2 linked regions of the Neodiprion lecontei genome follow. The protein of the gene in region 2 purifies or fractionates together with the protein of the main gene of each other region. This does not show direct contact. Links are inferred from orthologs where the notes say so. Each region holds a gene or a part of one and is shown on either strand. Other genes may lie near its edges. The genes, in order: protein ECT2 and NAD-dependent protein deacetylase sirtuin-1.

Region 1 (5,158 bases), on a different chromosome or scaffold from region 2:
TATAAAAACAAATTCGCCTTTTTTACGTATATTTTGTATTTCTGCTTGAAAAATGTATTTATACTTTCACAATCAATTATTTATAATAACAATAAAACAATAACGAATAATAATAATAACAATAATAATCATGAATAATACTTAAAAATACATATCCTCACCCTGCTATATAACAATATAACGAAATAACATTCTGGTAATCGAAAATAACTATAGCGCCCGCTTCCAAATCTGCGCGGATTTACCGGTCTTTTTCGTTGTCTGCCACGGTGTTCGGGTCAAGATATTTGTCTGCCCTTTCGTATATAAAATTTGGATGACTTCCTGTAAAAGTTTATTTTTGTTCCAACCCTTATAGTATGACGTAAGTTAGATACATTTTCGCGTGTCTTTATTGTTGTCTGCCGCCATTTTTCCAGCGACCGAGGTGTCTGCCATTTTTACTATTCAACTCAAAATATCATTCTCTGCTACCACACAAAAAATTAGCGCTTATGAAATGACGTTTTTCAATTGATTTTTTTAACCCTTTGCACCCCTCCCACCGCGTTCTCCAGTACTGGAGGCCAGGCAGACTTCCGAATCAATTATTAGCTATGTTAAGAGAGTATGACAAGATGGAAAATTTTGTTTATGAAATGACGTAACTAAAAAGTTCACTAGCTCTTAGACTATTACCATCACGTCGCACAACGAGAGAGATGAGCATGAATATATAATATCTACGAGACGTTAACTTAACTAATGTTGTTTGAAACGCACCAGCTTCCGGGGCTCGCAGCAATTTGATACATATTTTTAAAATGATAATGTAAATGACAATAAAAATGACCACTAAATGCACAAATACAGAAAGAACATTTTTCTTGTCCGTTTTAGATTTTGAAATAAGGAGAAGTGGAAAATTATTTTTTCTGAAAACTGATGTAAAATGTTCGCTAATAAATAATAACGATAATAATAATAATAATTAAACTAGAACAGCACAATAAATGAGGAAAACGTACGTTATATTAACGACTGTTATCAATGTCTAGGAAATAGATACATAAATATACAAATAATTTTGTTTGATTAAAAATAATAAAACGATATATCAAGGTTCCGTCAATCCGTCCATTAAAATTCTTGTTTATGCAGAAACGACACAAAGGAGAGAGACAGCAGCGAGTGAACGAGAGGGAAGAAAAATAAGAAAATTATATTTACAGCAGACGTTAAATGCACAGTAAAACTTACGAATTTAGTTTCGGCCCCGACAATGGAATATTTAAATGTATACAGTTAACAGCAATAACAAAATTTCATTGCTCAATTTATGCTGAGTCTTGGGCAAAAAAAAATTGTAATCCCATGGATAAATAATTGATCAAATTTAGCATTTGATTGAGCAATCATTAAATAAGTACCATTACTAAATAAATGAGTCTAAGGCTTTCAATCATATTTCCAGACTAGTTGGAAATTTTCAGCTCCCAGGTCCGTAATGATTCGGTTGAAATTAGAGTGGATGGGTTGGGATGGTACTTAATAACTTTATCTTATCATCAGCACGATCAAAGCTCGCAAGTCTGTCGATCTCGCTCTCACTGCCGTTAAAAAAACATGACATTGTAATTTATTTATCATCATTTTTGTCACAGGATGTCGGGTTAAATTAATGCATAAAATCCTGAAATTAATTTTTCTGGCCTACTAAGGGCTCAATTCTTTAGAATATGTTTTTCATTAATTAAACTAAATCGATTCTAACTTTAAAGGTCAGAATATGAGATTATAGGATATTTCCAAGACCCACTAATGCTGATGACTATTATTTTTTCTCAATTCTCCTGTAAACTTCGACGCGATGGCTTTCATCTCTTAACGACTAATTCACTGCAAGAAAGAAGTTGAATTTAATGAATGTGTTTGAGGGTCATTTTGAAAATCTGTAATGTCAATAATCTTTTTTGGTAAAGTAGGAATCCAGCGTCATGTTACGAACAGGCAACAGCTCTGTCTTTACGAACTACGTCATCGTTCTTCTGGATGGTTCAGAAAACATGTTGGTCTAAAGTTGGCTGAGATTATGTGAAATCTAGTCTGAGCCTATAAATGTGATAATGTGTTTTCTGGCATTAATATGACATTAGTGCCAAAACATCATTTTACTCTTTCTTGGGTACATTGGACATGTTTACATTGCACAGATTTGATAGAGTCTAATGTGAGATGAACCAATCACATGAATAGTTTCAAGAGCATTATCCAAAATTCGTTTCATTGATTAGTTGATCCCAAACATGGCGATGCAGACATGGCCGCTATCGCCCAAAAATGCATAGAATAAAAAACTCATTCGGTTGGTAAAGGACAGAAGCATCGCTCAAAAACAAGAGAATCAAAGCCTCAAACACGTATTAACATGTTTACAGATAACTCTTGGTAAAGGAAGGATGGGAAAGATACATTTGTGATTTTTTCAGAAACATGTCACTCATAGCCATTGCTGAGCTTGTATGAAATCTATTTTGAGCATATGTAAAGGTGATGTTTTTTTCTGGCGTTAATAGAAGATGAAAATACTACCAAGTTATCATTTCACTTTTTATTTTCAATACGTCTACTAAAATCTAGGACATTCCCCGAGTTCCGAAGAACATGGCCCAAAATGCAGAGTAAAGAAAATGACTCGGTCGGTAAGGATGGGCACAAGTATCTGCTGAATTTTTCCCTAGTTTACAGGAAAGTTATGGAGAAGGGACGAAGGGGGAGACACGCGTGTGTGTCTTCAACAAAGTGTGCAAGTAACTTACGTTCGGTGGCGGCCGCCTCTTCACTATTTATATCACTGGTACTGCTGTGCACGCTTTGCTCTTCCATTTTGGCAGTAGTAATCGCGCGTCGAGGTGGCGGGGTCGTCAACGTGTAGAGAGAGAACAGCACAACACAACGTCAGGTACGACGGCGTTTATTTCGCAGTCGTTTTTACGGCTGCCCGAAAATAAGAAGTCCGTCGCCTGTTTCTTCGCGCCTTCTGTTTCTCCCTCTTTCTTCCTCCTCTTTTTATATTGTTTATTCTCTTCTTTTTATTCCTGATCGATTTCAATTTTATTCAAATTTCCCCCTCTCTTCGTAGTTCACCCGTTTTTACCGCCGTTACAGCCTAATTTCCGTTAATTCCAGTTCTCGCCGTAATCGTTTCAACGACGAACCTTTGCGTCAGGTGCGTCCTCCCCTCCTGCCGCTATTCAATTGTTGAGGTGCATGCCTCGTTCCATTTGTCAGAGGCGGGAAAGAGGCGGCAGGGAGAAGAGGAAGAAGATATATAAAAAGAAAAAGTAGGAAGGAAGAGAATATTTTTACTATTTATGATTTACTAGCCGATTGTCTGTTCAATGTCTTTATTGGATATATTTATTATTCACTCGGCTGGTTTGTAGCTGTTGGTTTCTATTTTTTTTTCGTTTTTGTCTAGCAGTTTATTAGTTGATTATCATTAGCAATCGCCACCGCGCGTCGACAAATCGCTCCTCCCGATGATCGTCGTCATCGTCGAGACGACGGAACAGCTGAAACAAAAAAGGCGTCAACACGTTGCAGGTCGTCGCAAATTCGCGGGATTCAACGCATGTACAGTTGCCCCAAAAACATGGCAAACCCCGTTGATATTTGATGGAAAACCCGTTCAGAAAGATTAAAACATTGACAACGGTCATAAAACATTCAATATGAGATTGAGTTTTATCACTTCGAAGATTCAAAACTGCAAAAGATTCAAATTTGTGAACGATCTGAAAAAATTTGAATAATCGGAATTCCAAATCTTTGAATTTTTCAGAATAATCGGAACTTTAGAATGCTTTTGATAGGAGAGATGTTCTGGGGTAATTCCGTCTGCTACCCTAGGCAAATTCTTCACAATTAGTTGTAGGAATAATTCAAAATGCTATCCTTTATAATGCGAATTATTCCAAATTTTGATCAATCAATTCGGCCTGATAATTTCATGTTTATGTGTCATGTATATATATTTAATGATAATTGTCTACAAGCGCATATCTTGTAAACTTTGGGCCGCCGCTTGGTCAGTATATTGGCCAAGCTATAGTTAAATAATCTAAATGCAGCTTATTTGAATATACATGAACCCTAGAGCACATGTATCTTTTTTTCTACCCTCTAACGCGTGAGCAGGTTCACTATCAACCCCACGCGTTTCTCGATTGTAAGATCGTTCTAAAAGCAATAATAGGACTCGTAAGTGCACAAATCTTTTCGTTTTTTAATAAGGAAATGGATGGTGAAGAGCAAATCCGATTTTGTTGAAGTTTAGTTGGTGAAGAATTCAATCAACTACCAAACGGTACTGAAAAAAAAAACAGCTGGAGTGGTTAACAGGACCGTATATACAATCTAGGATTAAAATCAGCGGTGGTCTAAAGGTTCACATCTACAAACAGTTTGAAAAATGCATATCAAAAAAATGTCTAAGGAAACAAAATGATACCGGATATGACTATTGATAGATCGACAGCAATTAATATGTGACTAGTAGCAACACCAAAGAAACCTTTCATGTCAAATTGTACAGTGTTAAGGGGGTGCCCTGGTCGATTTTGACGTCGACGTATATATCTCTGAATATCAAAGTCGAAGTAGCTCAACCCCAAAAAAAAACTTTACAGACCCATTCTAAACAAAATCCTGAACAAAACTACTCCAGTATTTTTTCATTTGATAGAAAAATAAAGAAATAGCATGAATTCCATGAAATTACTACTGCGATTCCATCAGGGCATCATCTTAACCCTTACACTGCATACCTCTTGCGTATAACATTGTCACACCAGGCTCGCTGGAGACCCCGCGTAAAAAATAACTGTTCAGAAACAAAGATATTGATTCAAATAGCTCCAAAAAATTCTGGGATACTTTTTAACTATTATATTTCAAGGAAAATTAGCTATTTCTAGCAAAATGAAATTTTGTAATATGGAGAAAAATAACTCATTGAACATGTGTAAACCAAGGGTGTTACAGAACATTGAACATGCTGTCATTATGACCCCAGTGCGTAGCGTAAGGGTTGAGCAATTAACTTTGGTGGCAATTCGTATGAATGTCATCAGCTAGCTTCAGCGTCATAACGGCAATTGGCAATTATATGAGATGT
Region 2 (5,277 bases):
ATAACCGAAGGGAAATTATTAAATTTAATCAAAGATTGAATTACATGAAGGCGACGTTTGCATGACTTACATTTTAGATGGTACAATCTGATGAACCAAGATATTTGTTTTTGAAAAAAATTATGTAAAAGAATGACCCATCACCAAAAAATAGATATTAAATTTAACAATGTCGTATTGTTTTAAATATAAATCGTCATTAAAAAATTCACACTTGATTTATGGATGAGATAGTCCCTTATATGTAAATAATATTGAAAAAAAAAAAAAAACAAATTGAAATCCTCAAATTAAGTCGAAAAGCAAGAAATTTATTTACAATCAGGATCAATTTATAATCAGAACAATACGGTACATACTATAGTTGAAACTTTGACAAAGCACCTGTACCAGATATCTATTTAAATGTCATGCCTTTTGCTACCTAATAGTACGTACTTTATATCATAGTATAGCTTGTACAAAAGCAAAGTTCTCAGTGTCAGTTTTTCACACTTTAAACTCACAAATGTTTAAATGTAACTAATGTAATTGCTGGCTGAAATTCTCAAAAACCCTTGCAAGAAATACTTTTCAACTGTTTCAAAGAATCTTATTTGTTGTACAATGCCATACTAAAGAGAATAACAAACAATACTAAATGATCAAAATCGATAACTAAAATTTTTCTTAGTACAGTGTACAAAAACTACGAATTGATAATAGAGTACTTATAGGAGTTAGAAGTAATCAATTTACCTTCTTGGCTGCAGCTCCAACCTTGCTCTTCTTGGTACCTCGTACCTTCTTCATTCTGTTCTTGCGTTCCTTGCGCTGCTTTCTCGTTTGCTTATGCTTTTCATAAAGACCATGCCTGGCCAACCTGTGTTTAGGCTCAAACTTTTTGGCAAAGTCCAAAGTATCGTAGATAAGACCAAAACCTGTGGTTTTTCCACCTCCAAAATTAGTTTGGAATCCAAAAACAAAGACTACATCTGGGGTCACTTTGTACATCTTGGCCAGTTTCTCACGGATCTCTGTTTTGCGTACCGACGGTTGTCCGGGATGCAACACATCCACGACCTGATAGAAAAATACAGAAGCATGCAAACAACTACATGAATAAATGACAACAGTTATTTATATTACGATACATTCGATGATCTCCTGACGAATAAAATTTCCACTTCATTGCGAGAAACTTTCAATACTTTTGCAATTTTCTTTGAATTACATTATAGTGTCTAAGAGGTAAAAACAAAGCAATTGGCGGTATGGTGACAGGTTATGATGGCATCCAAAAACGTGAAATCGTATCTATTTATGATATGTACTCTATTCATTGATGAATTTGTCCCTCATTTTATATATTCCTATCAAGTCATGTTGAAGGAACAATTGATCAATGCAATTACTTGCTACTTGAATTTATTAGAAGAACGGATTCAAGAGTGAAAAGCTGCATTAGAAGAACAAATCGTTCGGTAAAAAGCTCAAAAACCTTACCATTTGTTTCCGGCATAATAGCCGATTGGTCATAAACTTTCGGGTCCTGATCGTAGCAGTGCCTTCAGTCTGAAATAAAGAATCAACACACATATCACTTTGAGGTTAGGTCGGTCATTACGGAACACTGAAGCTAATGAGTTTCGTTCAAGGTGAAAATTGGTAAGAACATCATGTTCTCGAGTTTTGGCCCGATCTGAGTATAGCGTAGCGTGGTCAATAACATCGTAGAAATGTGTTACAAAAGCGTTAGCCTCCTCCATGCTGACTTTTCGGTTAGTTGAAGACTTATAAAAAAAAATAATCCATGACCCACTGGGACGGAATACAGGATATATATTTCGGAGAACTATTAGTTCAGACTCATTTAGGGCATTCGAGTCAAACAATTTTCACTTCTTATGAAAGATTCCACTCAATTCGACGGATGAAAAATACGTACCATCTTGGCAGTTTGTCGTACGACACGGAAAAGATTTGACCGGAAAAGAGCAGCGCCAGGCACGGCCACGACAGTCTTGCCATCTGCTTCCTATACCGGCTACGCAGCGAACTACGGATTGCATAGCTGTTGAAAATGGCGTCTCATTCGGAGCTGCTAGAATATTCGTCTCCAGCTAAACGTCGGAAGATTGACTGTAACGGTCACGGAACTTCTCAGGGGTCGGAACGCGATTTCGGTGATTGCAAAGCGTCGCACGAGACGGTCCACAACGATCTGGAAGGTATTTTTGAGACAATATGCTAAATTAATAGTGAAAATTTTTCTATATTAAAGATGGCGGCCCGACAGACGGCCGCCCATTTTCATCGATGCCGTTTGTTCTTGTCCGTCGTAGGGGGCGGCCCGCCATGACAGTTCGTCGAGTGCGGCGAAATTTTTATTTTTCATCGTTTGCCTATTTTGAAAAATAACGTCGCTCTTATCCCCGCATAAATTTTGACCATATTATATCCTCATCGCAACGAATCGGATCTCGGTCAATATTTATTTATAATTTTTCGCTAAATAATATTTACATTCGATTCTCGTTCTTCCGCGCGAACTGGGGTCACTGACAGAGAGATCTCGCTCGGTACGAAGTAGTCTAGTGGCGTTCACAGATGGCACAAGTTCCACAAACGCAAAAGATAATACGAACTTGACGTTTACCAGAGCCCGCGAAATTATCTGTCAAATATGCAACAGCACATCGGTTGTTACTTGTTTTTATTATTATTATATTACTTGATGCACACATATATATATACATATTTTTTTTTATCATTCATTATATTTCTCTACATTTTCATTTCATTCTACCAGGTAGAGAAATAAAAAAAAATTACGAAGTTTACTTCATCAGATGGGCCTCCGCACACGATTTTATGAAAACTGTTCATTAGGTGTAAATAATGCATGGAAGTATATTTTTACGTTCTTATTGTTTTTTTTTCAAGATTCCTTTTCTTAGAATTGGTATAATTACTCGTAATAAAGCACAACATAATGTCTTATATGATGGATGTTCTATGGAAAATATGTAAATTGAGTAATGATGTAATAATCATATGTTAAAATTAAATTGTATATAAACAACTTCATTGATTAATAAGCGAACCATTTAGTTTATAATCTACTGTGTCATAGGTATCCAAAAGGAAGATTAAGTTAGGCAAATTGTAAGATTTGAGAATTATAGCTCTTATAATATAGTCTACATTTCAATGAATTTCGTAAAAAACCAAGAAATATATTTAAATTTACTAAAACTATGCAAGTTTTTTTTCAATACTTTAGAAAAAATAAATGTTGCACTCTTATTTTCAAAGGACGATTTGAAAATTGATATGTCTGCCATTTCTTTTTAGCTCTGCATGTACCTCTGTAACATTTGTATGAAATTATCGATCAACATCAAATATGTGTAGAAAATGTGAATTGTAAGCCGTCCGAAAATTTCTCATTCTCAGTTAATGTGGGACAATTTCCTTGCGAAACTACTGATTCCTAGTATGTGAATTATTGTTTGATTGTGATTATGAGAGAAGCAATTATCATTCCTACCACTAATAATGGTATTCTTTTGATATTTCTTTTTGCAATACAAAATGTACCTCAAGTGTAAGGTATTTTCATGTAGCGGAGTATATTTTTTTGGTTTTTTTTTGGCATGATCACCAATTAGTGAAGCTCAGGGAGATATTGATCCGTTTGGAGAGTCACTGATTTTTATATTTCATCAATGGAACGAATTGAATGCATAAATAAACTGATCCTAATATGGATGAATTAGCTGATCATGAAATGTAAGTATGAAAAATAACTTTCATGCCGAAATTGAGTATTATCAACAGAATTGTATTAATGTTGGAAATGTTTAAAGATTATTTTCACCAACTCACTTTCTTATGTAGCACCTGAATAAAACATACTTTCAATTTCGTTTAGTTATCATAAGCTCAGAGAGAATAAGATAATTTCTTTTGGTTCCAGAAACTTTGGGTGGCGACAGTGGATTTACAGAACTCGGCGACGGAACTAAATCTGCACCAACTACACCAGAAACCAATCTTGTACCAACACCAGCTCGCACAGATTCCACAAGTGAAGATACCAGTTATCCGTAAGATCAAATTGTCATTAAATTCTCTTGTAATGACATACCTAGTTATATTATAAAGGCTGATTCATTTCGCTTCTTTAGACCAGACACAGCAAATGAAAAGGACGACGTATCGTCGACCGTATCAAACTTGTCCGAATTATCGGGGCTTTCCGAGCTCTCCGGAGAGGCGGAAGACGGACCACAGTGGAGACCCGTTTCTTCTTGGGTTCAGAAACAAATGCTGACAGGAGCTGATCCTAGGGATCTCCTGCATCATCTTCTCATGGATTCCACACAGATACCTGAAGAGGTTGATGACCTCACTCTGTGGAAGGTAAGTATTTATTGATGTTTCTTAAAACAAGACTTGGTCGGTAATAGACAGTGCTGTAAAAACAATCAAACAAAAACGAAAAGAAAGTGGATGTGTTAATTCAAAAAATTTGTTTCAACCTTGTTGTTTCAGATTATTTTGAACATGATGTCAGAACCACCTAGAAGACAAAAGCTTAGGCATATTAATACACTCAATGATGTAGTTAGGCTGATAAAATCAAGCCGAAAGATAATCGTACTGACTGGAGCAGGTGTAAGCGTGAGCTGTGGCATTCCCGACTTCAGAAGTAGAGATGGCGTTTACTCTAGGCTAGCACAAGATTTTCCTAATTTACCCGATCCACAAGTGAGTCTACCCGAATAAAATGCCGACTCTGAACTGTATTATTTTTATCCATTAATATTAATTCAATGCGAAATACAATTGAGTGTCAATAATTCGAAGATTCTAACGAATTCATTTCATTTTTAGGCAATGTTCGATATAAATTACTTTGCACAGGATCCACGACCGTTTTTCAAATTCGCTCGTGAAATTTATCCTGGCCAATTTAAGCCTAGCCCCTGCCATAGGTTTATCAAGATGTTGGACAAACACAAGAAGTTGCTTAGAAACTACTCGCAAAACATAGATACCCTCGAGCAGGTAGCAGGAATTGAGAATGTGATAGAATGTCATGGTGAGTAACGATAATTATTTTTTACAGCAATAAATACATGGTTTAAGTGTAAGGCAAGTGCCGACAAGTTTTACTTCCAATTTAGTATATATATTTCGGACGTATTTTTGTTTACAGGGTCTTTTGCCACAGCATCCTGTACAAGATGTAAATATCAAGTTAGAGCAGATGACATAAGGGAAGAAATA

What was found.
Region 1: the proteins of NAD-dependent protein deacetylase sirtuin-1 (region 2) and protein ECT2 purify together in Homo sapiens (affinity purification with mass spectrometry; 3 studies listed by BioGRID). This does not show direct contact. The link is inferred for Neodiprion lecontei from reciprocal best matches to the Homo sapiens genes SIRT1 and ECT2.

Annotation. Positions count from the first base shown.
Region 1 is NC_060264.1:21,477,686-21,482,843, forward strand, and holds the start of protein ECT2, read right to left. Parts: upstream 3,173-5,158; 5' UTR 2,866-3,172; coding exon 2,799-2,865; intron 1-2,798. UniProt on the Homo sapiens protein: Guanine nucleotide exchange factor (GEF) that catalyzes the exchange of GDP for GTP. Promotes guanine nucleotide exchange on the Rho family members of small GTPases, like RHOA, RHOC, RAC1 and CDC42.
Region 2 is NC_060260.1:5,661,438-5,666,714, forward strand, and holds the start of NAD-dependent protein deacetylase sirtuin-1, read left to right. Parts: upstream 1-2,062; coding exon 2,063-2,210; intron 2,211-3,961; coding exon 3,962-4,091; intron 4,092-4,172; coding exon 4,173-4,407; intron 4,408-4,539; coding exon 4,540-4,755; intron 4,756-4,881; coding exon 4,882-5,089; intron 5,090-5,206; coding exon 5,207-5,277. Other genes in the region: 40S ribosomal protein S24, read right to left, coding at 739-1,062, 1,486-1,554, 1,928-1,930. UniProt on the Homo sapiens protein: NAD-dependent protein deacetylase that links transcriptional regulation directly to intracellular energetics and participates in the coordination of several separated cellular functions such as cell cycle, response to DNA damage, metabolism, apoptosis and autophagy.